Linked DNA regions of Stegostoma tigrinum. The protein of the gene in region 1 interacts with the protein of each later gene in a biochemical or structural test. Links are inferred from orthologs where the notes say so. Each region holds a gene or a part of one and is shown on either strand. Other genes may lie near its edges. The genes, in order: fbxl17, sufu and klhl12.

Region 1 (10,056 bases):
ACCATCTGCCAAATATTTGCCTCTTCATTTCACTCATCATCCATTGTCATCTCTTTAAGTCCCCTTGACAAAATACTCTTGCCCATCTTTCTGTCAACAGAAAATTTGACTACAATGCAGTCAATACCTTCATCAAAGTCATTAACGTAGATTGTAAATAGTTGAGCAAATAAAAACCAAATGAAGATGCTGTGAAAAATTTCTGAGGAAGGGTCACTTGCGCTGCAATGTTAACTCTGATTTCTCGTCACAGATGCTGCCAGACCTGCTGAGCTTTTTCAGCAATTTCTGCTTTTGTATCTAATCTCTGTGGCACTCTGCCAGTTACGACCTGCCAAGAATGATCTATTTACCCTTGAACAATCCTCTGTGCATGCTAATCAATCATTCTGACCACCATGAGTTCTTATTTTGTGCAGTAAAATATGATTTGACATTTTTTGAGATCTAAGTACACGTCTTTAACGACAATGTTTGTTACTTCCCAAAAGGACTCTAATAAATTAGTTAAAGATGATTTCCCTGTAGACTCTGCTTGATTAACCTATACACAATTGTCCATAAAACACAGGAAACAGGAGGAGGCCCTTCAAGCTTGCTCCCCCATTCAATATGATCGTAGTTGATCATTCAATTTAGTATCTTCTTCCTGATTTTTCACCATACACTTTTATTCTTTTAGTTCTAAGAGCTATAACTAACTCTTTCTTCAAAACATTCTTAGTTCTTTACTGTTAGTTGCACTCCCTCAAAAGCCACAGCATCCCTCCTCAGATAAAGAGACCAAAACTGCACACAGATTAGAAGACAGGGAAAGCTCAGTTTGAAGGACCCCACTGCTACATATATTGAAAATCCACTTCAATGTATTTAACTAAATCTGCGTAAGGCTATTTGTCTAGCCAAAACTACCATATCTGATGGAAAAGACAGGGAACATATCTACCAACCAGTGACAGAATTTCATTCACAAGGCAACCTGACTAAGGAACTAACTACAATGCTCTAGAATAAAAAGGCTTTTTATCAAAAATTGGATTACAATGCATGTGGCAGAAGTTTGATTTGTTCTACAGTCATCCTGATTTAAAAGACTTTTCTCTCTTTGCCAGGAAAATGGTCAGTAGGTAACAAAATAAACGATCAAGACATATATGTTTTTTATTAAGAGCACAACACGTGCAAGAAATGAGCCTCTAATACTTGGGGACTTACATTTTAAATGTATGAAGAAAGCATAGTTGAGTTATTAATCCTGTTCACCTCACTATACACATCCACCACTGCAAAGTCAGCTCTGTCCACTTTGTTGAGAGTCATGTGATTTACTGGAGCAATTTAAGAGATCTTATGGATATCGCCAAACAAGGTTCAGACACTCAATGATTCAAATTTCTCCAAACCTTTTACAACAAGTTCACCATTTGCAGGAAGGTATCTTTATTTATCAAAGTGTCAGCAGCATCTTTAGAGACAAAAGCATCTTTATGTTTGCTTGCAATCCAAATCCGAATATGTTTTTACTTATTTTTGCGTTTGAGTAGGAAGTGACTTCTAGCAGCTAATATCTCATAGATCAATGTTTTCACACCACCTGTGCATAGACAGTTGCTTCGAAGTAATTGAAAGATCTGCAAAGAATGGCTTGTAATGTATTATGCACCTTGTAAACGACTGTCAGTATCTGACAGCGCCTCTCATCCACCTTCCTGCAAAAATGTCACCCCCTAATCCCAATTCCTGCTCCTGAGATGAGGCATTCCACTCCTGGACATGCCAGATATCCTCGTTTATCAAGGACTGCAACTTACCCCCCACTACGGTCAAGAACGCCATTGACCACATCTCTCACGTTTCCCGCAACCCATCCCTCACACCCCCTTCCCGCAATCACAACCAAAACAGAATCCCCCTCATCCTCACGTATCACCCCACCAATCTCCGGATCCAATGCATCATCCTCCAGCACTTCCGCCTGTGCAATCTGACCCCGCCACCAAAGAAATTTTTCCCTCCCAACCCTTATGTGCCTTCCAGAGGGACAACTCTCTCCGTGACTCCCTTGTCCGCTCCACACTCCCCACCAGCCCCACCAACCCAGCACTTTTCCCTGCAACCGCAGGAAGTGCTACATCTGCCCCTACACCTCCTGCCTCACTCCCATCCCAGGCCCCAAGAAAATCTTCCACATCAAACAGATGTTCACCTGCACATCTGCTAGTGTGGTATACTATATCCGCTGTTCCCGATGTGGCCTCCTTGACATTGGGGAAACCAAGCGGAGGCTTGGAGACCACTTTGTGGAACACCTAGACTCAGTTCACAACAAACAACTGCACCTGCCAGTTGCGAACCACTTCAACTCCCCCTCCCACTCCTTGGATGACATGTCCATCCTGGGCCTCATCCAGTGCCACAACGATGCCACCTTAAGGTTGCAGGAACAGCACCTCATATTTCACTTGGGAACCTTGTAGCCCAACGGTACCAGTGTGGACTTCACAAGCTTCAAAATCTCCCCACCCGTGAACGCATCCCAAAACTAGCCCAGCTTGTCCCCGCCTCCCTAACCTGTCCTTCCTCCCATGTGTCTGCTCCTCCCACTTCAATTCCCACTCCCACCTCCTACCAACCAGCTTCATCCCTGCATCCCTCACCTGTCCATCTTCCCCGGACTGACTAACTCCCACCCTAATTTCCCATCTACACTCACCTTTACTGGCTCCAACCCTGCCTCTTTGACCTGTCCGTCTCCTCTCCAACTATCTGATCCTTTAACCATCTTCCATCCGCTTTCCCTCTCTATTTATTTCAGAATCCCCCTCGCCTTCCCCTCCCCCATTTCTGAAGAAGGGTCCAGATCTGAAACGTCAGCTTTCCTGCTCCTGGGCGGCACGGTGACTCAGTGGTTAGCGCTGCAGCCTCACAGCGCCAGGGACCCGGGTTCAATTCTAGCCTCAGGGGACTGTCTGTGGGGATTTGCACATTCTCCCCGTGTCTGCGTGGGTTTCCTCTGGGTGCTCCGGTTTCCTCCCACAAACCAAAGATGTGCAGGCTATGTGGATCGGCCATGCTAAATTGCCCATAGTGTTCAGGGGTGTGTGGGTTATAGGGGGATGGGTCTAGGTGGGATGCTTCAAGGGGCGGTGTGGACTTGTGGGGCCGAAGGGCCTGTTTCCACACTGTAGGGAATCGAATCTAATCTAATCCTCTGATGCTGCTTGGCCTGCTGTGTTCATCCAGCTCCACACCTTGTTTATCTCAGATTCTGCAGCATCAGCAGTTCCTAATATCTCTGTCAGTATCTGACACTTCTATCATCTAGACAGTGAGTGATTACAAAACGATTAAGTTTAACATGGTCTGGGAGTTGAGCGCTCCCACAAAAGGGAATCCCAGGACGTACAATTTTTAAGAGATAAATTTTCTGGAAAATTAGAGAAGTTGAATAGGTATAAACAGGCAGAAAACGGCGGAAAATCTCAGCAGATCTGCCAGAATGTGTGGAGATAGAAAGAATTACTATTTCGAATCCACTCTGTTTCTTCTGAAGTTCCAGTATTTTGCTTTCATTCGACCACGAAAAGTTATGGGTGAATGATATATTTCAAGATGTCACGCTGAAAATACAGAAAGAAAACAATATCAGACGAAACAAATGTGACCGAAAACTAATGAACACAATAAATACAATACAAAAAGGGACAGATTCTGCAGAGAAAAAGGGATGAGAGTCACTGGAGTGATGAATATAAACGCAGAAACATATTAACAGGAGAAGGGAGAGCGATTGAGAACAAGGTCGGACAAAGATCTTGATCTAATTTTAGGAAACAAACAGCTGTCGGGTCCTCTCAGTCACCAGCTCGAAGATTCTCACCTGACAACAGCAGCAGCAGCAGGTCACCATTATTAAAGCTCTGTCCCACGGCAATGCTAACAATCGCCTCACGGTAGGTCCCCGCTCAGCGGTTGATCACTGCGCGGCTGGGATCTGATTAAAAGGCGGGATCACCGAGTGACGTTCGCTGATCGCCGCCAATGAGGCGCGCGGACGGTTTGAGCCGGCCTCTCAGTTGAAGAATGAGGCCTTGTACAGCCGGAAGGTCTGCATCAGTTTATATTCACTATTTTTTTTCCAATAAGTAGTAATTGTTTATATTTTCTAGGGGGAAAAAAAACACACACACAAGAATGATGACGTCTCTGTGTTTAAGTATGCAAACGTGTGAAGGCGGTAGGAAGGAATAGTCGCCGGTAGGCAGCACGCTTCTTCCTGTTATTTACAGTTTGCGAGACAAACACTGGGCAGCTGAGGCCTTGTTTGAAATGAGTATGTGTGAAGCTGCATATTGGAGCTGGAATTTAGGAAGTCGGAAATGCTGCTACAGTCCTAGTCTCACATTGGGACAGTAGAGGATGGAAACTCTTTACAGGAAGCAGTACAAGTGGTTTTGAGTACTGAAATATTATGGAGATATTAAAAATTGATCATGTTTTTAATCTCGCATTCAATTTACAGTCAATAATCAGATTGTTTTGTTAAACCCTTCACTTAATCTATAACCATTGTGATTTGAATAAAATGCCCTCTGACATTCTTCCGCAATATAAATAGCGAATAGGGAAAATGTACAAGATGTAAAGAAAACCTCAGGTCACGTTAAATCTATAATATAAATGCATTTTGAATTTTATTAAATACTAAAAGGACAATTTGAAATATTTTTTCAATGCATGTGTTTGTTCAATGCACAGTAGTTACATTTTCAATTCTGGTTTAATTACACTTACATGAAATGGTCCTGTTGGGTTATAATTAGTTTCCAATCTTGCATTTTTCATTATTATTTACAAGTGCAGTGATAGTAGCCCAGAGCTACATAAAGTGTAATGGTTTGGTTCTCCATGGATAAGAGGTTTTGTCTGAAGTTGCACTGACATTTCACCATGTACTATTCCATCTAAAATCAGTAATTTCACACAAGAAAGTGGAACTAAATTATTTTTATTTTGAAAGATTGTGCAATATCACAGGGCTTGAGTCAGTCAGGATTGTTGATTTTTTTTTGTGGTTAGAACTACCTTTAAAGTTTATAGATACATGTTTACACGGATGACTTCATGTAAATAATTCTATCAATGTCCTTTTTAAACAGTGATGTGATTAGTTCATAAGACTAATATTCTTGTAAATACAATTTATACAAGTGAATTATAAATTAAGAAAAACATCCAGAAACACTTCAGAGTTAAGGGACAAATTAGATGCAACATCAAGGGGGAGATATTTGGAAAGAGCATCAATCTGCTTGGTCCGATATGTTAAGTCTTGGCGGACGATACTGTATTTGTACAAATGAAGGAAGGGGATAGGCACCAAAAGGTATTATCAGAGGAACTGAGAATGGGGTGAGGTTCATAGATTGAATAAAATTGTTAAACTTAAATTATTGGGAGATGTAGAGTCAGTGTGTGTTGAGGATAGGTGTGTTGGTCATGGTGGATGATTGAGTACAAGTAGTGAATTTGTGGGTATGTGTTGATTTTAGAGATTTTTTTCTGGAATGGAAAGCTCACAATTAATTGAGTCTAGAGCTGATAAAGGCTTAAATCAAGGTTTCAATAGCAGATAAGTCTTAAGAAAGAGCAGTAGGTTGAGGCTTTTCTGCCCATTGAACCTACTATGCTACCTAGTATGAGTATGACTGATCTGATGAACCCACCTCCCTGCTTGCACCTGTTACCTTTTTTGAGTCTTTGTTAACAAAAATCTATCTCACTCAACCTTGAAAATGCACAATGACACGTTCTCCAGTATTCTGTGGAGGAGCATTCCAAAAAATATGATCTCTGCGAGAAGGAATTCCTCCTTTAGTTTTAATGGGAAATCTCTTATTTTTAAAGTCCGTCCCCTACTTCTAGTCTTCCCCACAAAAGGAGGCATTCTTCCAGCAGTAACAGCGTACATCCCCGTCAGAATCTTATGTTTAAATAATATTACCACTTATTCACTCCAATGACTATCAGCGCAATCGTTCATCCTTTCTCCATGAGTCAACCCATTCACCCCAGAAACCAGCCAAGTGAACTTTCTGTGAATTGCTTCTAATGCAAGGGAAACTCCTAGAGATAGGAAATAACTCACCACAGTACTTCAGCTTCAGACTCATCAATGCACTGTTGCAGTAAAATTCCTTCCTTTTACTATAAAATGTTGGTGGGTAAAGGCTGACATCAAATTTAACTTAATAATTACCTCTGCCGCTGAAGATGGGTGGAAGAGATGTTTTTGCTTTGTTTGCTAGTCTGTTTGTAAACAATATATGTCAGAAACTACTGAATGATTTTAACAAAACTTGATATACAGATAGAGTTAGCACAGGGAAGAGCTATTACATTCAGATGGGAGGAAAAGAAAACTGGTAACAGGAAGTTATTGGATATGGCTTTAAGCAAACATTTTGGATTAAGTAAGACCCAGATCTTTGCTGTGCAGCATTCTGTAGTGTTTCTCCATTTAAACAATGTTCTATTTCTCTTTTCTTCTGGCCAAAGTGAATAACCTCAAATTTTACTACATTATTCTCTAGCCAAATATTTTCCTAACTGATGTCATCAGTATATATATCCCTTTGCAGATCCTTTGTATCCTTTTCACAACTTATTCTGCTGCCTATCCTTTGCATTATCAGCAAATCTGCAGATAATATAGTTGACTTCATCATCCACTTCGTTAATACTCGTAAACAAACAGTTGAGTCCCACCTCTGATCCTTGCGACCCTCCAGCATGCCAGCCTGCAAGTGACTGCCATTTTTCAGAATCTATCTTTGTTAGCTAATATGCTGAAAACATTAATATATCATCCCAAGCAAAATGGATTTTTATCTTGTGGCAAGGTATTAAAATGATTTTGGTAAACCGTCATGTTTACTGGTGTCTGTTTTTCCACCTTGCTTAATACTCGGTGAAATTTTTCAAAGCGGTTGCATAAATTGTTCAGATGTTAACTTCCCTTTCACAAAGCCATGACATTCTACTCGATTTTCTATCTGTCCTGCGTCTATCTTAGTAATAGATTCTTGTATTTTAATATTGACAGATGTTGGATGCAACACAGCTGTAGTTCCTGATTTCCAGACTGGTGTCTCCCTCCTTGAATAGTAGTATTACATTTGTGGCTTTCTAATCCTCTTGGACACTTCCAAAATCTAGGGAATTTTGGAAGAGTAACCGACACGTCCACAAACTATGCAACCACATTTTTTCAATGACCCTAAGGTACAGGTCAATATCTTTTTCTCGAGTGATGGTGATAGTTTTAAGGTCTTTCACCCCTGCTTTTTTGCAAATCTGGGGGTACTTTTTGTATCGTTTAGTATGATAGGTAGGTAGGTACGATGTAATTGAAAAGTAAAAAGAAGTAAAAAGTCTTCCTCATGAAGACCATCTGGGTTGAAAAATCTGAATATCGGTCAGACAGGCCAATAAGGATGTGGAAGTTCTGTTTCATCCGAAAATAATGGCAGTCAGGACATGAAATAGGTAGGAAGGTATGAAGCTTTTGGCAGGCCAAAAAGTGGCTCGAGTCTGCCTGTTATTTAGTTGGGGTGAGGTTATGTGTTTCCATGAAAAAGTGTAGGTTAGATAGGCTTCAGATTGGTTTATCAGGTCGGCGCAACATCGAGGGCTGAAGGGCCTGGACTGCGCTGTAATGTTCTATGTTCTATGGTGGATACACGGTCTGAACATGCTTGGAGTGAGGTATGACAGTAATGTATCACTAGTGTATCTGTGAATGCTAATGGAATATCTGTGGATTGTGTCACCAATGGACAATATGGACTAACCTGAATCCAAGAATGAAACTGAAGGGAATTTTGTAAGTAATGGTGCAGAGAAAGTCATCAGTGTGGATGTTCAACCGACATTTGTTTAGGTAATGGGACCTAGATGGTGTTGAAATTTTGGAAGAAGATGGTGCATGGACGTCAACAGAGAGCATATTGGGGGGGAAAAATGCAACCCTGATCATGTAAAAATGGTACATTCATTTTAGCTTTATTGTGTTTCGACTAAAACTAGATTGGAACAATTGAAACAGAATTTTTGGAGATGGGCAAGGTGACGATATAAGCAGGTGGCAAATATATCTTTTGGAATGAAGATTGAAATCAAGCATTTAGTTAACAATGACATGCTGATGATTGTGGTTTTACAAAGAGAGAGGTGTTAGTTGTTTTGAGAAACTAGATAACTGGACTTTGAAATAGTTTAGAATGTCAGCTGGCATGCAAGAGGTAAGAAGGGAGCTGTCATTGGGAAATTAATAAAAATGGAGTTAAAATTTTTTTGTTGTGTTTTGTGAATATGATGAACTTAGCAAATGTGTGAGAAACTAATAAGGTACACAATCTGGGCTATGCTAGGTAGTAGAGAGCATTTGGTTTATAAGGGGACCAATCAAGCATTTTTTTCCCTCCCAGATGATCCCTGTGACATGAGATGTGCTGGCAGAGGGAGTGAGTTTCTGTGGAACTTCACGTGTTTTGGGTAGATCCGATGATGGATGGGAAATCTAATTTGTCTATAAAATATTCTTATAAAGTAACTTAATTAAATGGGATGTTGATTCTTCAAAATGAATGGGAAAGAATTAATGCTTTGTTCAATACAAAAGCACTCATTTTGTGTTTGAGTTAAACTGTTGTGGTTGATGTAGGCTGATTTAAATACAATTAACTCCTCTTGGATCTGGATAAAAATTAAGTATAATGTGGTTTTGGAACATCACTGTAGTCCTTGATGTTGTGATAATACTCTTAAGTGGTTTAAATAGGGATGAAAGTTTTGGGGGAGTCTTTTCCTGCTCTGTGCCATGTTAAATTGAGATAATCCCCACAAATGTTTGAAATATCCTCTGATAGAGATTAGGGAAGACCTGATGAAGGGTGCCTCTGAAAAGAATTAGATGTCTCTTGACCTTCTGGTTGTCAACTTTAGGACAAGTTTGTGCCTTGGAGAGTGTATTTAACAAATTGACAAAGAAACATGTTCACATCATTTTGTATTACACAAAATCTACGTGACTGTGTCAAATGGCTTGAGATGATTTTCTTTTATACAGTCTTGTTTTTATTTTGCTAAATGCTGATTGCCTTTTAATAAGCAATTTCAAAAGTTGAATTGTACTTTTGCTTCATGTAGCAATACAATGAACAAATTGTAATTTGAATTGGCTTTTAGAGCTGCAAAAGTTTGCCTCATAATAGTGATTTTGAGATAAGCATTAGGCAGTTAGGAGCATACATTCACAATGGTCCAAGGCAGTGGAGGCCAACTCTCTGGATACTTTCAAGAAAGAGATGGATAGAGCTCTTAAAGATAGTGGAATCAAGGGTTCTGGGGATAGGGCAGGAACAGGATACTGATTGTGGATGATCAGCCATGATCATAATGAATGGTGGTGCTGGCTCGAAGGGCTGAATGGCCTACTCCTGCACCTATTGTCTATTGTCTGTTAACTACTTTCGTCTGTTCTTCTGTTGAATGAGACCAGTGGCTGAACTCCATGCACCTAACTGCCGCCTTTCCCTCGATGCTTCTAGTTAACAAGATCTATTCTTTTGAATTCATGAATTGATCTGAGCTTTCATGTGAGCGTTTCAAATGCCTGTCACCTTTTGCTCGTTGCAATTTTTCTTAACTTTGCGAATAGACTCTTTTTAGAACAATTACAGCTTTGGAGGAAGTCATATTTGGTTTGTCATGTCTGTGCTGGTTCTCTGCAAGATCAATTCCCTGCCTTTTTCCTCATATATTTCCTGAATTTGTTTTCACTTTCAGACGATTATCCACTTCTGTGGTAGGAAGAGCAAAGTTTTTTTGGTGCTGTTGACAAAAGGGGAGGAGGAGTGAGTTGAACAGATGGTGAGCCTGCCCAAGGGGAGTGTTTGTAGTTGGAGATGAGAGATTGAGATGTAAAATAGATTAGATTTTTCTGAAGAATGGTCTCGACCGGAAACGTCAGCTTTTCTGCTCCTCTGATGCTGC
Region 2 (10,738 bases), on another chromosome or scaffold:
CCAGAGTTTGGGTGTCTATTATTGAAGGCAATATGTGCTGACACTACGTGCCCCTATCAATTGCACATGCACAAGCCTCCAGAGCTGTGCATGCGTAGACTCATGTGACATGAAACAGTGCGTGTTGCCATGGAATTGTTTGTCTCATTGAAGTGTGCTTTGATACTGCAATGGTTGGGAACTGCTGCCTTACAGTATCAGTGTACTTTGTTGATTTCTGTGGCCTGACTTGAAGTTTTGTACATCAGATTTGTTCACTTTAGCCTTGTGTGTATAACCATTTCCAATAATAAGGTATTGTATTTGTCACAAATAAGAAAAGTAAAAGTTGTTCAAGATAAGTCTTCTGGTTGCCAGAATACCATGATCAGTGAATTTCTTGGACCAGAAGCAGTTACCAAACAGTAAAAAAAGACTTGCACTTATATTTTTGCATTTTCACATCCAACAGACCAGAAGCAATGTTTTCATTCTGCATTTGAGAAGGTTTTATTATTTTTAATACTAATAATTAGATGTTAATATGGAAGGCTAATCAGGAAGGCTAATGCAATATTGGCACTTATTTTTGAGGGGTTTGGATTATAAGCATAGGGAAGTCTTACTGCAACTGTACAATGTGCTGATGAGATGACATCTGGAGTACTGACAGGGGAGTTCAAAACTAGAGGGCATAGGCTTCAGGTGAAACGGAAAGGTTCAAGAGGGACCTAAGGGCAACATTTTCACGCAGAGAGTAGTGTATGTATGGAACAGCTGTCAGAGGAAATGGTGGAGACTGGTACAATTACAACATTTAAAAGGCATCTGGATGGGTACATGAATAGGAAGGGTTTAAAGGGACATGTTTCAAATGCTGGCAGGTGGGACTAGATGAATTTAGGATATCTGGTGGCAGGGATGAGTTGGTCTGAAGAATCTGTTTCCATGCTGTACAGCTCTATAACTCTACTGTGAGCAGTTTTGATCCCCTTATTTAAGGAAAGATATTATCTCAATAGACACAGTTCAGAGATGGTTCACTAGGATGATCCCTGGTATCGAGGGTTTGTCTGATGGGCAAAGGCTAAATAGGTTGGGAATCAATTAATTGGAATTTAGAAGAATGAGAGGTGATCTCATTGAAACATACAGCAAGCTCAAGGGGTTTGATTGGGTAAAGGCTGAGAGGATGTTTCCCCTCATGGGAGGCTCTAGGACCAGAGGATATATTCTCAGAATAAAGGGGTGTCAATTCAAAACTGAGATGAAGAGGAATTTTCTTCTCTCAGAGTTGTGGGAGTTTGGAATTCCTTGCCGGGACAGAGCATTTGTGTATATTTGAGGCTGAGACAGATAAATTCTTGATTGATAAGGGAATTAAAGGTCACGATAAGATATAGGAAAGTGGATATGAGGAATGTTCAATCAGCCATAATTCTATTGAATGATAGAGCAAGCTCAGAGGGGCCAAATCGCTATTCTTGTTCCTATTTCTTATAATCTTATTATGATCTTATGGAAACTGTCATGCATTGTTAAACGTCAAGAACCTATCAGTTTGCATATAGGCAAGTTATTTGGATTGTGCCCAAATCAGGAAGTGAATGCTTTGTTGTTAGTGTTAATCTGTCTTTACATGGTTACAATGTCAATGACGCTGAGGTATGAATACTCATCAACTATGTTATTTAGAACTGTATCTTTGAAAATGATTGTGAGCTGAAATACGATGCTGTTTTAGCACAATATGCTTCATTCAGTTAGACTTAGATTCCACAATTAGTATTTGAATTAGAAATTGCATTATTCATGTGCAAACATCACAGAATGCAGCATGGTAAACATAAGATTGTTTCCTCTGAACAATTTTCAGACCAATTCTGAATAAAAAGTACTGGAACATATAATTGTTTTCTTCAGTTCTGGTACCATCACCAACTTTGTATTGGTGCTTCTGTGTTTCATTTTCATTCATGGAATTCATAGGCCATCAATCATCCATGATTGTCCGAAAGGTGGTGATGAGCTGCCTCTTTAAACAGGTGCAGTCATAGAGAAATACAGCATAGAAACAGATTTTTTGGTCCAACTTGTCCATGCTTACCAAGTTTCCAAAACTATACCAGTCCCATTTGCTTGTGTTTGGCTCCTTTCCACTTATGTACCTGCCCAAATGTCTTTTAAATGTTGTAACTGTACCTGCGTCTACCACTACCTTTGGCCGTTTATTCCACATATGAATCACTCTCTGTTCAAAAAAGTTGCCCCTCATGTCCTTTTTAAATCTTTCTCCTCCCATCTTCAAAATATGCACCCTGGTCTTGAACTCCCCCCAACCCTAGGGAAAAGACCTTTGCTATACACCTTATCTATTGTCCTCATGATTTTATAAATGTCTAAAAGGTCATCCCTCAACCTCCCATGCTCCAGTGAAAAATGTCCCAGTCTATCCAGCATCACCTCACAACTCAAGCCTTCCAGTCCTGGTAACATCCTTAGAATAGAATCAAAGAAGAGAATCCCTACAGTATGGAAACAGGCCCTTTGGCCCATCTAGTCCACACCGGCCATCAGAGCATCTCATCCAGACCCATCTCCCACGTAATCTATACATCCCAAAACACTACAGACAATTTAGCATAGCCAATCCACCTAATCTGCACATTTTTGGAACGTGGGAGGAAAGCGGAGTACCCGGAGGAAACCCACGCAGAGACAGGGAGGATGTACAAACTCCACACAGACAGTTGCCCGAGGGTGGAATCGAATCCAGGTCCCTGGTGCTGTGAGGTAGTGCTAAACACTGAGCCACTGTGCCGCCCAATAGTTGGCAGCAGTGGGATATCCTTGTAAATCTTCTATGCACCCTCTCCAATTTAACAATATTCTTCCTATAGCAGGGTTACTAGAACTGTACACAGTATTCCAAAAGTGGCCTCATCAACATCCTTTACTACCGCAATATGACGTCTCACCGCCTATACTCAATGGTCTGAGCAATGAAACAGGCATGCCAAATGTCTTCTTTACATCCTGTTGCAACTTTCAAACAACTAGTACCTGAACTCCTAGGTGTCTCTGTTTGAAAGCACCTAACCAGGGCCCTATCATTAACTGATAACCAAGTGTGGAGCTGGATGAACACAGCAGGCCAAGCAGCAGCAGTTCCCATTATCTCTAAGTCCTGCCCTTATTTGCCTTACAAGAATGAAATACCTTATAATTATGTAAATTAGACTCCAGCTGCCACTCCTGGGCCCATTGGTCCATTTGATCAAGACCTCTTTGTCATCTTAGATAACCTTCTTCACTGTCGACCATACCACCAACATTGGTGTCAGCCACAGACTTATTAACCATGCTTCCTAAATTCCCATCCAAATTGTTTATATAAATGACATTCACTAGTAGACTAATCACTGATCCCTGCAGAACACCGCTGGTCATAGGCCTCCAGTCCGAAAAAAAAATACCCTCCTCCATCACCCTCTATCTCCTACTGTCAAGCCAATTTTGTACTTAATTGACAAGCTCTCCCTGAATCCCATGTGATCTAACTAAACTGACCAGTCTACCATGAAGAACATTGTCAAAGGCTTTTGGCACCGCAATAGTGAAGGAATAGCGATGCAGTTCCAAGTCTGGATGGTATGTGGCTTGGTGAGAAACTTGTGGGTGGTTGCGTTCTAATGCATCTGCTGCCCCTGTCCTTCTGTATGGTAGAGGTCACAAGTTTGGTAGCTGCTGTCAAAAAAATTTTGGGTGAGTTCTGCACATCTTGTAGATGCTACACACCGTTGCCACTGTGTTTCTGTGGTGAAGAGAAAGAATGCAGAAGGTGATGGGTTTAGTGCCAATCAAGTGGGGTGTTTCATGGAATCCCTACATTGCAGAAAGAGGCCATTTGGCCCATTGAGTCTGCACCACCACCCGAAGAGCATCCCATCAGACCCTCCCTATCCCTGTCATCCCACATCTACCACGGCTCATAACCCCCCTAGCCTGGGCACCCGTGGATACCACATGACAATTTAAAATAGCCAATCCACATAACCTGCACTTCTTTGCAATGTGGAAACAAACCGGAGCACCAGAGGAAATCCATGCAGACACGGGAAGAACGTGCAAACTCCACACAGACAGTTACCCAAGGATGGATTCAAACCTGAGATCCTGGTGCTATAAGGTAGCAGTGCTTACCACTGAGCCACTGTGTCCTGGTATTTATTTGTAAATATGTTCAATTATTATTTTTATCATGAACACGATGGTCAGTCTACTGTCTTTCAGAATTGACAGCATAACTAAAATGGCTTGGATTTTGTGGTGAGGCAAAGCAACAGGTAAAGTGAGATAGAATCATTAGGGAGAGGGCAAGAGTGCTTAAGGAGCATTGTGGAGGGTTAGACAAGAAGCATTAGCAGCAGGGCAAGGGGCAGCGAGAGAGAGAGAGAGACAGTGTAAGTGTGGGAAGGAGGGTATAGTAGGACAATGTCAGGAACAAGATAACGGGTAGAGTGAGAGAAACAGGAATGCAGTTAATGGTAAAGGGGACAACTAGCATGAGGGACAAATGAAGCTTAGCACCTGTACTGTGAAGGGGTTGGTTGGCAGCAATGAACAGTTGAGCACAGGCAACATGAGGGACAGGAATTGATTGGGAACGAGGGGTAGGGGAATCATTGGCAGTGCAACAGACAAGCATTCAATTGGCAGCAGCAGCGTGATGGGCAGTGATTTAGGAGCATGATGGACAGAGGACTGTTGAGAGCACAAGGGGAGGACATGGGGGGGGCAGTTGGCAATGTGAGGGGATGTCAGGGGACAGTCGGCAGTGTGAGGGGAAGACATGGGGGAGGGAAGCAATCGGCAGTGTGAAGGGAAAACATGGGGAAGGGTGGCAGTTGGCAATGTGAGGGGAGGACTTGGAGGGCAGTTGGCAGTGTGATGGGAGGACATGGGGGCAGTTGGCAATGTGAGGTGAGGACATGGGGGGCAGTTGGCAGTGTGACGGGAGGACATGGGGAAGGGTGGCAGTGTGACGGGAGGACATGGGGAAGGGTGGCAGTTGGCAGTGTGAGGGGAGGACATAGGGGGAAGTTGGCAGTGTGAGGGGAGGCCATGGGGGAAGGGGCAGTTGGCAGTGTGAGGGGAGGACATAGGAGGAAGTTGGCAGTGTGAGGGGAGGCCATGGGGGAAGGGGCAGTTGGCAGTGTGATGGGAGAACATGGGGGCAGTTGGCAATGTGAGGGGAGGACATGGGGGCAGTTGGCAATGTGAGGTGAGGACATGGGGGGCAGTTGGCAGTGTGACGGGAGGACATGGGGAAGGGTGGCAGTTGGCAGTGTGAGGGGAGGACATAGGGGGAAGTTGGCAGTGTGAGGGGAGGCCATGGGGGAAGGGGCAGTTGGCAGTGTGAGGGGAGGACATGGGGGAAGGGGCAGTTGGCAGTGTGAGGGGAGGACATGGGGGGGCAGCTGGCAATGTGAGGAGAGGACATCGAGGGCAGCTGGCAGTGTGAGGGGGGGAACATGGGGGAAGGGGCAGTTGGCAGTGTGAGGGGAGGACATGGGGAAGGGTGGCAGTTGGCAGTGTGAGGGGAGGACATGGGGGGGCAGCTGGCAATGTGAGGAGAGGACATCGAGGGCAGCTGGCAGTGTGAGGGGGGGAACATGGGGGAAGGGGCAGTTGGCAGCGTGAGGGGAGGACATGGGGAAGGGCGGCAGGTGGCAGCCGCAGCGGCGCGAGCGGGCGGCGGTTACGGAGCGAATCAGCGCGAGCGCGGGCGGGTGGGGGAGGTGGAGGAGGGGGGGGAAGGGAGGTGAGAGCGGGGACGGCTTGGCCCGGAACGGAAGGACGGGTCGGCTGACGAGTTTGACGCTTCGTTGGGGTCGAGCGCGGTGGACGCCCGAATTCCAGAGAGAGAGAGAGAGACAGGATCCACCTTCAGGCCGAGGGACACCCACAACATTCCCGGGTAGACCGGCGCTGGGACAGCCGAGCCGATGGAGGAGTTGCGGCCTAGCGGCCCCGGCATTGCGGCGCTCCTGCCTCCGGGTTTGCACGCTATCTATCAGGAGTGCAGACGACTTTACTCGGACCAGCCGAACCCACTGCAGGTCACCGCCATCGTAAAGTACTGGTAAGTCCCCGACTCCTGCGCTCTCTCCTCACCGGTTGGTCTCCAGCCCGTTTCCCGAGGCCCCATGCCCGAGAACGATTAACTTAGTGTAAATCAAGGCAATAAAACGGTTTCCATTTGAGGAATATAAACGCACACTTTTTCTCTGCAATGTTTAAAGTTCAATTTTCCCCTCCCTCACTTTTCAAAAAGTTTATGGCAGCTTCGGGGAAAAGAATGTTTTCATTATTTTGTGTTTTGATGATGGGAGTTGGCGCTATACTGTTTACCTTTCCAAATTCAGAAAATACATTCTGTACCGATATCATCTGTTTAACCCTTTTTGCAGAACTGGATCTACCATCCTACCTAAGGCAAACTATAAATAAACAACTGCAGTTTTTACATAAGTATCTGGAGCTTGCTATGCACGTCGTTGTGGAAGAACTTTTGTTTTTATCATTTGAGTTGATTTCAACGAGAAATGGTCTAATAAACAAGGTACAAAAAGGGGTAACAATTTTTGTCTTTTCTAGTCAATTTTTCCACAACAAAAAACGGTAGCCAGCAAACGCCTTTTTATCATCAGCACATAGGCAAATCCAATCATTTTCTCTAATTCCAAAAGTAAACCATCCTTTGAGAATTTTCAACTTGAACTGGTAAAACTATTAGTAATTTTGCTGCAGTTTTTAAAAAAAATGCAGAATACATAGTCAAAATTCAACCTGCTTAAGAATATTTGACTGAACACCTTTTTATAATGTGTGGTAGAAATATTGATCCGTTAACAAACGACTAAGAATAAATTGAGATTTTATGAAAGTTGATTTAGAATTTTAAACTGTCATGTATTTTCATTGACAGTGTGAATTTCAAATATTAGTTAAAAACCAATTTGTACTATGTTACCATAAATTAGTTGTCCTCTGCTGAGTATCATTCAGCACTTGTGAACTTGATGAAAGGAGAAGTTTTGATTTATTTCAGTAGCTATGCATCTAATGTAGGGTTCACTTGTGGTTTTATGTTTGGGACATATTTCCCTATACAGATCAAGGATGGTCTATCCATTGAATGATGGATTTGGATCTCTTGAGGCATTTAATTTTGAATGTTATTGTTTCCATATGCTAGGATATCCTACACAGCATGTGTCCTATTCTGTAGTTTTGGGTAGTCTTGTCTTTTTATGCTGGCCTATAAATTTATTCAAAAAATGTTGGCAAGTTTGATTATTTTGGAAAATAACTATTGAATGTATAAAGGGAAATTGTAAAGGACGATTCTAACTTTTGACCTCTTTGTACACAAATCTACCTAAATTTGCTTTCTATCTGACTGTCTTCTTATTGTTGGTACTTGCTTTGTCTTTATCTTTAGTGTCCTTTCTCTCTAATCTCAAGGCCTAACTACCTGATACAGCACAGATCATGAATTCTGTTAGATTTTATGGGAAGTTACATGATGGTAAACAATGACTGCATGATAACTGGTGAGGAAGAAATTTGTAGAGATCCACAAACTCCCCAGTGAATATAACTTTCTCGAGCCCCTCCTCCTTCAAGTTTCAAGACTCCTTGTAGAAATATCTGTATCATCTATAACTGGGTGAGGTGCCTGATGGCAGGAGGGTGGCTAATATTGGACCTTTGTGTAAGATGGGTTGTAAGGAGAAACTGGGGAGCTGTAGACCTGAGAGTCTGATTTCACTTGTAGGTAAATTGTTGGAGGTGATTATAAAAGATAGGATTTATGGACATTTAGAGAGGCAAAAATTGATAAGTCAAAGTCAGCATGGTTTTGTGTGAGGAAAATCATGTCTCACAAACTTGACTGAGTTTTTTGAAAAAAGTTACTAAAAGGGTTGACAGAGGAGCAGACGTTTATTTGGATTTTAGTAAAGCCTTTGACAAGGTTCTACATAGTAAACTAAATAGTAAAGTTAGGTCACATGGGAATCTTGGTGACCTTGCCAATTGGCTACATAATTGGCTTAATGGAAGGAGACAGAATAATGGTGGAACGTTGCTTTTTGGGCCGGAGGCCTGTGACCGACGGTGTTCCGCAGGGGTCGGTTATGAGTCCTGTTTTGTTTGTCATTTATATAAATGATTGGCTGAGATTATAGAAGGCATGGTTAGTAAGTTTGTGGATGACACCAAAGTTGTTGGCGTCGTAGGCAGTGAAGAGGGCTTTCTGCAGATTACGGAGGGGTCTTTATCAAATGGGTCAATGGGCTGAAAAATGGATAAGTACAAGGTGTTGCATTTTGGTGCAGCTGACAAGGCTAGGGCTTATACAGTTAATAGTAGGGCCTTGGGTGGTGTTGTAGAACAGGAGGACCTAGGAGTCCAGATATACAAATCTTTAGAGTTGTGTCACACACAGACAGGATGGTTAAAAAAGTGTTTGGCACACATGCCTTCATTGCTTGGTCCTTAGTGTATAGGAGTTGGGACATTATGTTGAGATTGTACAGGACGTTGGTGAGGCTTCTTCTGGAATAGAGTGTCCGGTTCTGATTGCCCAGTTATAGGAAGGATATTATCAATCTGGAGAGGGTTCAGAAGGTATTCAGCAGGATATACGAGGTATGAAAGGTTTGAGTTATAAGGAAATGCTGGATAGACTGGGACTTTTTTTTTCCACTGGAGTTTAGGAGGTTGAGAAGTGACCTGATAGAAGATTTTATAAAATAAAGAAAGGTCTATTTAAAGTCTTTGTAAGATTTGTAACTCGGGTTGTGGATGATGATGTAGACTTGCTGAGCTGGTGTGTTTGGTTGCAGACATTTTGAAACTTTGCTAGGTAACATGGCCAGTGTGCTACTGTTGAAGAAGAAACATCTGCAATCAAACTAAAATAACAAATTGTGGAGCTGGATAAACACAGCAGGCCAAGCAGCATCTCGGGAGCACAAAAGCTGACGTTTCGGGCCTAGACCCTTCATCAGAGAGGGGGATGGGGAGAGGGTTCTGGAATAAATAGGGAGAGAGGGGGAGGCAGAGCGAAGATGGAGAGAAGCGGAGAGTATAGGTGGGGAGGTAGGGAGGGCATAGGTCAGTCCAGGGAAGATGGACAGGTCAAGGAGGTGGGATGAGGTTAGTAGGTAGGAGATGGTGGTGCGGCTTGAGATGGGAGGAAGAGATGGGTGAGAGGAAGAACAGGTTAGGGAGGCAGAGACAGGCTGGGCTAGTTTTGGGATGCAGTTGGGGGAGGGGATGAGCTGGGCTGGTTTTGGGATGCGGTGGGGCAAGGGGCGATTTTGAAGCTGGTGAAGTCCACATTGATACCATTGGGCTGCAGGGTTCCCAAGCGGAATATGAGTTACTGTTCCTGCAACCTTCGGGTGGCATCCTTGTGGCACTGCAAGACACCCATGATGGACATGTCGTCTGAAGAATGGGAGGGGGAGTTAAAATGGTTTGCGACTGGGAGGTGCCGCTATTTCTTGCGAACCGAGCGGAGGTGTTCTGCAAAGCGGTCCCCAAGCTTCCGCTTGGTTTCCCCAATGTAGAGGAAGCCACACCAGGTGCAATGGATACAGTATACCACATTGGCAGATGTGCCGGTGAACTTCTGCTTAATGTGGAAAGTCATCTTGGGGCCTGGGATGGGGGTGAGGGAGGCGGTGTGGGGGCAAGTGTAGCACTTCCTGCGGTTGCAGGGGAAGGTGTTGTGGGGTTGGAGGGGAGTGTGGAGCGAACAAGGGAGTCACGGAGAGAGTGGTCTCTCTGGAAGGCAGACAAGGGTGGGGATGGAAAAATGGCTTGGGTGGTGGGTTCAGATTGTAGATGGCGGAAGTGTCGGAGGATGATGCGTTGTATCCGGAAGTTGGTGGGGTGGTGTGTGAGAACGAGGGGGATCCTCTTTTGGCGGTTGTGGCGGGGTCGGGGTGTGAGGGATGTGTTGCGGGAAATGCGGGAGACGCGGTCAAGGGTGTTCTCGACCACTGCCGGGGGAAAGTTGCAGGCTTTGAAGAGCTTGGACATCTGGGATGTGCGGGAGTGGAATGCCTCATCCTGGGAACAGATGCAGCGGAGGCGGAGGAATTGGAAATAGGGAATGGAATTAAACTCGCTGGCTTGGCGAACAAGTCTACAACCTAATGAAAGATACAGTTAGAGTTGATAGTAGTTGTCTTTTCCCTAAGTTGGGGGATTTCAAGACTGTGGGCCCATCTCTAAAGTGAGAGGAGGAAGGTTTAAAAAAGACAGCAGGTAAATTTTTTTAACACAGTAGGTGGTTCCTGTGTGAAATGAACTTCCTGATGAAGTGGTGGATGCAGGTACAGTTACATAGAACATAGAACATAGAACATTACAGCACAGTACCGGCCCTTTGGCCCTCGATGGTATGACAGGTCGGCACAACAATCTGAAGCCCATCTAACCTACATTATTCCATGTACATCCATATGCTGGTCCAATGACGACTTAAATGTACTTAAAGTTGGAATGTTTAAAGTTACAATGTTTAAAAGACATTTGGATGGATAAATGAATGAAGATTGGAGGGGTATGGGCCAGGAGTTGGCAGGTGGGACAAATTTAGTTTGGGATTATATTTGGCATGGACTGGTTAGACTGAAAGGTCTGTTTCTTTGCTGTGTGACTCTATGACACAAAATTC
Region 3 (10,998 bases), on another chromosome or scaffold:
CTGCCTACCACTGATATCAGGGCCAATGGTCTATAGTTCCCTGGTTTTTCCTTAGCACCTTTCTTAAATAGTGATACCACGTTAGCCAACCTCCAGTCTTCTGGCACCTCACCTGCAGCTGTCAGTGATACAAACATCTCAGCGCGGGGCCCAGCAATCACTTCCCTATGTTCCCACAGAGTTCTAGGGTACACCTGATCAGATCCCAGTGATTTATCCATCTTTATGCGTTTTAAGATGTTCAGCACCACCTCCTCTGTGATATGGAGATTTTTCAAGACGTCACTATCTATTTCCCCACATTCTCTATTTTCCATATCCTTCTCTACAGTAAACATTGATGCAAAATACTTGTTTAGTATGTCCCCCATCTCCTATGGTTTCACACAGAGGCTGCCTTGCTGATCTTTAAGGAGCCCTGTTTTATCTCTAGTTACTCTTGTGTCTTTAACGTATTTATAAAATCCCTTTCAATTCTCCTTAACTATTTTTGTTAAAGCTTTGTCCCCTTCTTGCCCTCCTGATTTCCCTCTTAAATACACTCCTACTGCCTTTTTACTGTCCTAAGGATTCACTCGATCTCTGCTGTCTATACCTGACATATACTTCCTTCTTATTCTTGACGAGAACCTCAATTTCTCCAGTCATCCAGCATTCCCTACACCTACTAGTTTTGCCCTTCACACTCACAGGAACATACTGCCTCTGGACTCTCATCTCATTTTTTGAAGGCTTCCCATTCATCTGCTCTATCCCCCTATTCCTACCCTCACTAGCTTGTGGCACCGGGAGTAATCCAGGTATTACTACCCTTGAGGACCTCCTTTTGAAATTCCTGCCTAACTTCCTATCTTCTCCCCTCAGAATCTCATCCATTTCTCATCCTATGCTGTTGGTTCCAATGTGTACAATGACTTCCAGCTGGTCCCACTCCTGTTTGAGAATATTCTGCACTTCTCCAAAATATCCTTGATCTGTGTATGAGGGACAGAACATAAGAACATAAGACCATAAGACATAGGAGTGGAAGTAAGGCCATTCAGCCCATCAAGTCCACTCTGCCATTTAAATCATGGCTGATGGGCATTTCAACTCCACTTCCCTGCACTCTCCCCGTAGCCCTTCTGATGTCTTGCTGTTGGCCACAGAATCATCTGACTAGTGACTCCCCTATCACAGTTAGTCACTTGGAACCTGACGTACCTCTCATTATATTAGAGCCAGTCTCATACCAGAAACCTGGTTGTCCCTGCTACATTCCTTTGAGAGTCCATCATCCCTAAACGTTCCAAAACAGCATATTGGTTTGAGATGGGGATAGCCACAGAAGACTCCTGCAATACCTACCTCCCTCTCCTACCTTTCCTGGAGGTAACCCATCTTCCTGGCTATATTGCAGTTTTTCTCCCTTTCCGAAAATGTCATACATCACAACCCCTAGCTCCTGTAGATTCCACATTGTCTCTCGGTGATGCTCCAATCGATCCATGCGATCCAATAACATTTGCAACCAAACATAGTTCCTGCCGACATAGTCATCAGTAACACAAAGACTCCCTAGTCTCCCACATCCAACAGGAAGCGTACAAACACTGCTCTAAAGGCCACCATTACAACTATCTACTGTCTACAGACTCAGAAAATAGCACAGTATTACTGCTCTAAAAACACTGCTCCGAGCTAACTTAGAATCTGTTTTTAGTATCTGTGTCAAGAGACAGATCGCAATAAAACATATAATTGCAAGAGAACCCACTGTTGTAGTTGTACAAAATAATTAGTAAGGTTACACTTTAAAAAGCCACTTAGTTGCTCCCCTGCTGTGAGATGTCCAACACGGGTTTCTCCTAGGTCAGCTGTGAATTTTACTGTTTGTTAATTTTGCTTGGATGAGCTCCGATGGCCAGAGATACTTGAAATCAAACAGCAGAACAGTCAGCTAGGTCAGACCCAGCAGTGCAGATTTATTTCTCCGTTTGAATCCCTTCCCACCTGGTCATTGCCACTGCCATTGTCTGTCTTCCTGTTTTTTTTAAAGCTGTTGTTTTGATCTGTTTTTTTCTCCCAGTCTTCCAAAACAATGCAACAGGTTATAAAACAAGAATTACTGCTCCTAGAATTTGAAGAAATCAGCTCAAAACTGAAAATACCTCAAAAAAGGAGCAACTCTTACAGACAAAATGCCTTCTTATCCTTTCTTAAATTCATTCACAGGACGAGGGCATCGCTGTTAGGCAGCATTTATTGCCCATCCTTAATTGTCCAGAGGGCAGTTAAGAGTCAACCACATTGCTTTGGGTCGGGAGTCACATGTAGGCCAGACCAGGTAAGGTTGGCAGTTTCCCTCCCTAAAGGACATTAGTGAACCAGGTGGGTTTCCCCCCCAACAATTGACAATGGATTCACGGTCATCATTAGATTCTTAATTCCAGATATTTCATTGAGTTCAAGTTCCACCATCTGCCGTGGTGGGATTTGAACCTGGATCCTTAGAATGTTATCTGGGTCTCTGGATTAACAGTCCAGCGATAATACCAGTAGGCCATTGCCTCCCTCCGATAAGAGTCCTCTCCCTGTCCCTAGACCTCTTCACCCAACTCCAACAATCTCCCTGGACCCCTCTCTCTGGCCTTTTACCTGCACTCGACCTGTTCATTGAGAACCATTGACATGGCATTAGTGGCTTCAATTTCTCTGCTCCCCTTACCCATTCAAACCCATCTCCCTCAGAACTGACCGCACTGTGTGCTCTCCAATCCTACTCTGACTTTGTAATCAAGCCTAGCAATGTGCTGTTGTTGTCTGATATGCTGGCTTCTACATTATACTGGCTGAGTGCAGCTATTAGACTCGTCCTCCTATCTCGGTCCTGGACCATGACCCTACCATTGAACACCAGGCTATTGTGTCCACTTGGTCACTAATCTCATTTCACTGGTGATCTCTGCCCTAACCCGATTGTTTTTCTCCCCTTGTCTAGTTCCTTTCCACTTACAAACACAATTTTTCCATCACTTTACATCAGTTCACGGGCTCCAGCAGCCTCCTCTTCATCTTCAGCGATGTTCAATCCCTTTCCATGTTCACCCTCCCTCAGAATGGTCTCAGGACACTAATCTAATAATCTAACTACTGCCCCCATCACTGAATCCCTCACTATCAACATACTTGGGGTTACCATTTATCAAAAACTCAACTAGAATCACCACATAAACACAGTGGCTACAGGAGCAGTTCAGTGATCAGGAAAACTGCCATAAACCACCTCCTGACTCCCAGAGGGAGGGGGTGGGAGATGACCATAGGAAAAGGTGGGGATGAGGGAGAGGGGAGGGTGAATGTTGGGGAATGAGGATAAAGCGGGGATGGGAAGGAGGGAGGGGGTGGGGGAAGTGTGTAGGTGTCGGGGACTAAGAGTGGGGGAGGTGTGGAGGAGCGGGATGTGTGTGTGGGGGAGGTAATAGGGGTGGGGGATGTGTGGGTGGCTGTGGGGGATGTATGGGGGAGGGGGATGTCAGTTGAGGGAGATGTGTGTGGGGGGAGGGGGATGTGGGTGGGGGTCTGTTGGGGAGGGGAATGTGTGTGTGCAGGGGGGGATTGGGGTAGGGAGGGGAAGGTGGGTGCATGTAGGGGATTAGTGGCAGGGGAGCTATGAGTGAATGTGGCGGATGGGGAAGAGGGTGGCAGTGGGGGAGGAGGGTTAGGGGTGTGGGAGATGTTGGTGGGAGAGGGGGATTAGGAGTGGTGGAAGAGTTGGTGGGGAATGGAGGTTAGTGGTGGGGGAGGTGTTGGTGGTGTGGGGACTAGGGGCGGGGGAGGGTGATTGGGGTGGGGGAGGTGGTGGTGAGCAGAGAGATGTTGTCGGGGGAGGGGAATTAAGGGTGAGTGAGGTTTTGGTGTGGGACAGGGAGGTGTTGGTGGGGGGTGGTTTAGGGGTGGGGGACGTATTGGAGAGGGAGGGGGATTGGGGTGTGGGAGGTGTTGGGGGGGTGGGGGAGATTAGGGATGGCGGATGTGTTGATGAGGGTGGTGGCTACGAGGTGGGGGAGGTATTGGTGGGGCTAGGAGATTAGGTATGGGGGAGGTATTGGTGGGGTGGGCTGGGCTTTAGGGGCGGGGAAGGTGTTGGTGGGGGAGATGTTGGTGGGGGTGGGCTTTACGGGCGGGGAGGTGTTGGTGGGGGAGGGTTTAGGGGTGGGGGTGGGTTTCGGGGTGGGGAAGGTGTTGGTGGGTGTGGGTTTTAGGGGTGGGGGAGGTGTTGGTGGGGGTTTAGGGGTGGGGTGGTGTTGGTGGTGGGGGAGGTGTTGGGGGTGGTTTAGGGGTGGGGGAGGTGTTGGTGGGGGATTTAGGGGTGGGGAAGGTGTTGTTGGGGGGTTTAGGGGTGGGGGAGGCCTCCCACACCCCTAATCCCCTTCCCCCTCCAATACGTCCCCCACCCCTAAACAACCCCCCACCAACACCTCCCTGTCCCACACCAAAACCTCACTCACCCTTAATTCCGCTCCCCCGACAACATCTCCCTGCTCACCACCACCTCCCCCACCCCAATCACCCTCCCCCGCCCCTAGTCCCCACACCACCAACACCTCCCCCACCACTAACCTCCATTCCCCACCAACTCTTCCACCACTCCTAATCCCCCTCTCCCACCAACATCTCCCACACCCCTAACCCTCCTCCCCCACTGCCACCCTCTTCCCCATCCGCCACATCCACTCATAGCTCCCCTGCCACTAATCCCCTACATGCACCCACCTTCCCCTCCCTACCCCAATCCCCCTCTGCACACACACATTCCCCTCCCCCACGGACCCCTACCCACATGGGAGGTGTTGGTAGGGGGCTTTAGGGGGTGGGGAAGGTGATGGTGGGAGGGGTTCAGGGGTGGGGAGATGTTGGTGGTTGGGGATTTTGGGTGGGGAGTTGTTGGTGGGTGGTTTGGGGTGGGGTGTTTAGGGGTGGTGAGGTGTTTGTGGGTGGTTTAGGGATGGGGGAGGTGTTGGTGGGGGGTTCAGGGGTGGGGGAGGTGTTGGTAGGGGCGCTTTAGGGGGTGGGGAAGGTGATGGTGGGAGGGGTTTTGGGGAGGGAGGTGTTGGTGGGGGGCTTTAGGGGATGGGCAAGGTGATGGTGGGAGGGGTTTGGGGGTGGGGAGGTGTTGGTAGGGGGGCTTTAGGGAGTGGGGAAGGTGATGGTGGGAGGGGTTCAGAGGGTGGGGACGTGTTGGTAGGGGGGCTTTAGTGGGTGGGGCAGGTGATGGTGGGAGGGGTTGGGGTGGGGAGGTGTTGGTAGGGGGCTTTAGGGGGTGGGGAAAATGATGGTGGGAGGGGTTTGGGGGGTGGGGAGGTATTGGTAGGGGACCTTTAGGGGGTGGGGAAGGTGATGGTGGGAGGGGTTTAGAGGGTGGGGAGGTGTTGGTAGGGGGCCTTTAGGGGGTGGGGAAGGTGATGGTGGGAAGGGTGTAGGGGGGCTTTAGGGGATGGGGAAGGTGATGGTGGGAAGGATTTAGGGGGTGGGGAGGTGTTGGTAGGGGGGCTTTAGGGGATGGGAAAGGTGATGGTGGGAGGGGTTTTGGGGGTGGGGAGGTGTTGGTAGGGGGGCTTTAGGGGTTGGGGAAGGTGATGGTCGGTGGGGTTTAAAGGGTGGTGAGGTGTTGGTAGGGGGGGCTTTAGGGGGTGGGGAAGGTGATAGTGGGAGGGGTTTGGGGGTGAGGAGGTGTTGGTAGGGGGGCTTTTAGGGTGGGGAAGGTGATGGTGGGAGGGGTTTGGGGGTGGGGAGGTGTTGGTAGGGGGGCTTTAGGGGGTGGGGAAGGTGATGGTGGGAGGGGTTTGGGGGAGGGAAGTGTTGGTAGGGGGGCTTTAGGGGGTGGGGAAGGTGATGGTGGGAGGGGTTTGGGGGAGGGAGGTGTTGGTAGGGGGGCTTTAGGGGGTGGGGAAGGTGATGGTGGGAGGGGTTTGGGGGGTGGGGAGGTGTTGGTAGGGGGCTTTAGGGGTGGGGAAGGTGATGGTGGGAGGGGTTTGGGGTGGGGAGGTGTTGGTAGGGGGGCTTTAGGGGGTGGGGAAGGTGATGGTGGGAGGGGTTTGGGGGAGGGAAGTGTTGGTAGGGGGGCTTTAGGGGGTGGGGAAGTTGATGGTGGGAGGGGTTTGGGGGAGGGAGGTGTTGGTAGGGAGGTTTTAGGGGGTGGGGAAGGTGATGGAAGGAGGGGTTTAGGGGGTGGGGAGGTGTTGGTAGGGGGCTTTAGGGGATGGGGAAGGTGATGCTAGGAGGTGTGTAGGGGGGCTTTAGGGGGTGGGGAAGGTGATGGTGGGAGGGCTTTAGGGGGTGGGGAAGGTGATGGTAGGAGGGGATTAGGGGATGGGGAGGTGTTGGTAGGGGGGCTTTAGGGGATGGGGAAGGTGATGGTGGGAAGGGTTTTGGGGGTGGGGAGGTGTTGGTAGGGGGGCTTTAGGGGGTGGGGAAGGTGATGATGGGAGGGGTTTGGGGGAGGGAAGTGTTGGTAGGGGGTCTTTAGGGGGTGGGGAAGGTGATGGTAGGCGGGGTTTGGGGGTTGGGGAGGTTTTGGTATGGGAGGGTGAGGATCAGCTGTTGAAAGATGTCACGTGAGCTTTCACTACGCGCGCATGCGTCAGGCCGTGCATTGTGGGTGTTGTAGTCCAGTAGGAGCCGCGGCTGGAGGGCGGTAAGAGCTCGGCTGGGGCTCGGGCCTTGGAGCTGCGGCCTGACCCCTAGCTCCTCTACACAATCTCCCATCCCCTCATCTGGGTGAGGAAAGGGCCGGCCGGCCGGCAAAACGCGGAGAGATGGGATCGGGAATGATCCTGGTAAAGATGAAATGTTCTGTGTTTTATGTTAAAGATGAAAACCCTGCAATTGGTCGTCAAGGCTGTACATCTCGGGGTGATCACTGAGGAAGATCGCTGAGGGGGGGTAGAATGGGATGATCACTGGGTTAGTCGCTGAGGGAGGGGTTGGGGTTGATCACTGGGTTCGGAGGAGATGGCTGAGGGGGTGGGATGGCTGGTAATCAATGGGGGAGATCACCGTGGGAGAGGGGAATGGGGTGGTCATTGGGGGAGATCACTGAGGTGGGAAATGGCTGGTCGCTGGAGGAGATCACTGTGGGAGAGCGGAATGGGGGTGGGTCATTGGGGGAGATCACTGAGGGGGTGGAATGGCTGGTAATCACTGGGGGAGATCACCGAGGGAGAGGGGAATGGGGTGGTCATTGGGGGAGATCACCGAAGGAGAGGGGAATGGCAGGTAATCATGGGGGGAGATCACTGAGGGAGAGGGGAATTGGGGGTGGTCATTGGGGAAGATCATTGATGGTGTGGGATGGCAGGTCATCACTGGGGGTGATCACTGAGGGAGAGCAGAATGGGGGTGGTCGTTGGGGGAAGGTGAATGGGGATGATGAATGGGGGAGGGTGTGATCACGAGGAAGAGACAAGATGACCAGCGTCCGGAGGAAGGGCAAGGTGGAGAGACCTCCAGGAATCCAGGTGGCATGACTGGAGTTGTGCAGATCCAGGATGCAGTAGAAAATGAACAGTAGGAGGAGAGGAGGAAAAGATGAGGAATCCAGAGAATTGGAAATAAACACAGAAAGGGGTAGCAAGAGGGAAGAATATGGGGAGACAAGAACAGCAGCAAAGGTCAATAAATAGACAACAGTGTTTAAAGAAGACCACATAAATGGTGCAGATACTTTGTGATAGACGAAGAATTAGTTTGGAAATTTTGACTCCAGGTTTAAAGGTTTTGATGTGGAAATAATTACCTCGGGGAGAAGTTTCCCGAGAGTCCATTCAAGAAGGTGTCTGCTCTGCATTGGTTCTTGGTTATAATGAGAATCCAATATGACTTCTTCAGAACTCCAGCAGTAGTTTGCTTTTATTTCTTAGTTATAACTACTTTTGCTGGTGCCGAAAAGGGTCTTGCTCACATTCGCAGTGGTTTCACGGGGAAAGCATCCAAGGTGCTTCGAATGTTTAAATGTTAAAAATTAAATAGGGGGGTTTAAGAAGGTAAGTTCCAGAGTGTGGACCTAATCTTGTTGGAGACTTTGACACTACTTGTGTTTGGGGTGGGGGTGGTTAGCAATATGGTTAAAGCAAAGGATTCAAGAGAGTTGCAGTAGAGTTTAAGATCTGCAGTAAGATGGCATCTTTAAACCTATTGGTAATGGTTGAATAGAGCCTATGGTTACAGACCCATGCCAATTGATTAAATGCTTTCTTTGTTGCACAAATATTAGTGCTAGAGCAGCGCAGGATGTGTTAACATACCAGAAAAGGGTCAACAAGACAGCTTGGAAGGTCCGTATGCATCCTTCCAAATGAAAGTACTCGAAAGAGGAGGAAACAGTTAACACAAAGAAAATCCCAGCTCGACCAAAAAGGTTTACAGAAGCTATTTAAGCCATTCTGTTATCAAGAATACTGTGGAACCATTTTTCTGTGACCTATTTAAAGTAAGTGTTTCCATAGTGCATGGCTGAATTACTGGAACAGGCTCCTGGGGGTTGCAATTTTCTACTGATAGAAAGATGTCTCCTGCCTGGAGAGGAAGCAGAGCCTGTAACACTGTAGTATTTTCATTTCCTGATACAGATTCAGGTTGTGCACACATGGTGGAAGTGCATTCTTTGAGAAATGAATCAATTTTATCATATTGATTTTTTTTAATTGCAGGTGATATGACTGGATATGGCTGAAGGCGATTGAACTGGGAGAAATTCTGTGAAATTAGCTTTGCCCGGTTCTGGAAGAACAGAAAATCTCAGGAGTAATTTTATGCTGCTGGCAGGTGATGGACTTCAGTTCTGCCATGGCTTATCAAATGTGGTAGTAACTCTGGTTTGGCAAACAAGTCTAAGAATAAGCCTAAATAAAAACCGAAAGAACTGTGGATGCAGTAAGAATAAGCCATCTCTGTGGCGTGAAGACAAATAATATGTCTAATTCGTTTCAGTGTTCCTAAAACATTCCCAAGTCATCTTGTCAGGCTGTTTTTGCAATTTAACCTGTTTTCATTGTTTCTGTGGTCAGACTACAGGGTTGTTTGTTGCTTTTCAGGATCACAAGGATCTTCAGGCTCCCACTGCATTATTTTCTGTTGCAGCACCTCTGCCAGTGGATTCTTAAATTAATTTATTCAGTTTAATCCACTAATACCAGATCTAGCCTCAAGTACTCAGACACCAGGTCTGTTATTTCTTGGACTTGATTGAGTATAAATATCGTAAAACTGTTGGGACAATAAGCTGTCAGTCTGTGCTCAGAATTGGAGCAATATATTTAACCTGTTGCCCTTATCTGAAGTGGAATAGAATCAAGAGTTGGCAAATAAATTGTGTTTGTGACAGGAAAGTGGTTGTAATAACTCACCAAGGCATTCTGTTTTAATCAGAAACCTTGGTGTTCATTGCGATAACCAAAGGTTCATAAGTGGGTTCCTTTGTCTGTTGTGATGTGGAATATGCATTTGGGAAACATTTAGGTGGAATTGATGCACTGTGTCTATTTCTGGGGTCAAGTCACATAACACCAGGTTATAGTCCAACAGGTTTATTTGAAAACACAAGCTTTCGGAGTCTTACTCCTCCTTCAGGGGTTCGTGAGACAGGTAATATCAGACACAGAATTTATAAGTAAAAGATTAAAGGGTCAATTTCTGGGGATGTTTTTCAGAGCAAGTTGAATCCATGCTGTCCAGACGAGGCCTGAATGTTGAGTTTAACATTTGGATCAGGCTCCTCTTCATCCAGAACGTGAGATCTTTTACATCACTTTTGAGAGAAACTTTAGTTTAACGTTTCATCTGAATGATATCACCTCCAGTTAGAATGAACTCCTTAAGCACCGGCCTAAAGTACTAAGGTTTAAAATCACATTGAGTGGGATATTAGTATTCTAGTACTAAGCCAAGATTAGAACCTTGAGAACTTTAGTGTGTTGGTGATGACTGAGTGATCTCTGCCTTGTGGTTGGATTAGAGACATGGTAACAATGGACAGAGTTACAAAGACGGTTCTGTTGTGTTGTGGCCTGCAGACATGTGCTTGTGTTTGTATTTGTGTTGGCAACAACAAAAAAGGGTAAATCTTAGATTGAAAATGCACTAATCCTAAAACTAAATTATCCCAAGATATCTTGAGAAATGAGTTTCTGATTTGCCATGCAGCAGCTTTTAAGAAGGGGATAGATTGCCATGGATGGACTAGCAGCAGTGTGGCGGCCTGTACTTGAGTGTTGGTATGGCGATCTCGTCAGTGTAACCAGTGAGAAGATATACGAACAGTCAGTGTGATGCACCAGATAGGGAATGGAAAGAGGTCTTGAGATCAAAACACAAAGAAGCAAATTGCCTCTTTAGGTTAGCCAACAGGTAAAATCATAGCAAAGAGCTGAGGAAAAAGATGGGTATTGCGGACGTTGTCCATGATTTCTCAGATAGTACTGTCGGATGTGCGTTTGTCAAATATTTTCTTTAAACAAAAATGCTTTAAAATCTATATTGATCCTACAGCCTCAAATTTTGCAAATAACATATTAAACATGAGAGCATTGATTTTCCTAGCTTTTTAATAATGTGTTGTTGGTGTGATTTTAATCCAGCTGTAGGTGATTATCTCTCTCTTCACTGACTCTAAAAGAGGAAAGGCGGAACATGGCTCCTCGGGATATAATGACCAACTCACATGCCAAGTCCATACTTAACACGATGAACTCTCTGAGGAAGAGTAACACCCTGTGTGATGTCACTTTGCGAGTTGATAGCAAGGACTTTCCTGCCCATCGTATTGTGTTGGCTGCCTGCAGTGACTATTTCTGTGCCATGTTCACCAGTGAGGTAAGCTGGCCATGAATTTGGCTGTAAAGGTTGGTTACTCCTTTCTCACAGTAACACTAACAGTTGTCGGCTTACCAATTTTAGTCAAATGAAAAGCAAAGGTATTAACGAACCACGTTGGAGAAGCGTGTTGCAAAAGCTTCAGCC

What was found.
Region 2: of the proteins of fbxl17 (region 1) and sufu, one has a biochemical effect on the other in vitro, tested with the Homo sapiens proteins (2 studies listed by BioGRID, with this or other methods). The link is inferred for Stegostoma tigrinum from reciprocal best matches to the Homo sapiens genes FBXL17 and SUFU.
Region 3: the proteins of fbxl17 (region 1) and klhl12 form a complex in vitro, tested with the Homo sapiens proteins (3 studies listed by BioGRID, with this or other methods). The link is inferred for Stegostoma tigrinum from reciprocal best matches to the Homo sapiens genes FBXL17 and KLHL12.

Annotation. Positions count from the first base shown.
Region 1 is NC_081356.1:80,973,016-80,983,071, forward strand, and holds the start of fbxl17 (F-box/LRR-repeat protein 17), read left to right. Parts: upstream 1-4,035; 5' UTR 4,036-4,106; intron 4,107-4,113; exon of another isoform or gene 4,114-4,257; intron 4,258-10,056. UniProt on the Homo sapiens protein: Substrate-recognition component of the SCF(FBXL17) E3 ubiquitin ligase complex, a key component of a quality control pathway required to ensure functional dimerization of BTB domain-containing proteins (dimerization quality control, DQC).
Region 2 is NC_081373.1:7,323,224-7,333,961, forward strand, and holds the start of sufu (suppressor of fused homolog), read left to right. Parts: upstream 1-5,804; 5' UTR 5,805-5,987; coding exon 5,988-6,124; intron 6,125-10,738. UniProt on the Homo sapiens protein: Negative regulator in the hedgehog/smoothened signaling pathway. Down-regulates GLI1-mediated transactivation of target genes. Down-regulates GLI2-mediated transactivation of target genes. Part of a corepressor complex that acts on DNA-bound GLI1.
Region 3 is NC_081374.1:45,323,218-45,334,215, reverse strand, and holds the start of klhl12 (kelch-like protein 12), read left to right. Parts: upstream 1-6,638; 5' UTR 6,639-6,818; intron 6,819-8,690; 5' UTR 8,691-8,805; intron 8,806-9,223; exon of another isoform or gene 9,224-9,769; intron 9,770-10,616; 5' UTR 10,617-10,668; coding exon 10,669-10,851; intron 10,852-10,998. UniProt on the Homo sapiens protein: Substrate-specific adapter of a BCR (BTB-CUL3-RBX1) E3 ubiquitin ligase complex that acts as a negative regulator of Wnt signaling pathway and ER-Golgi transport.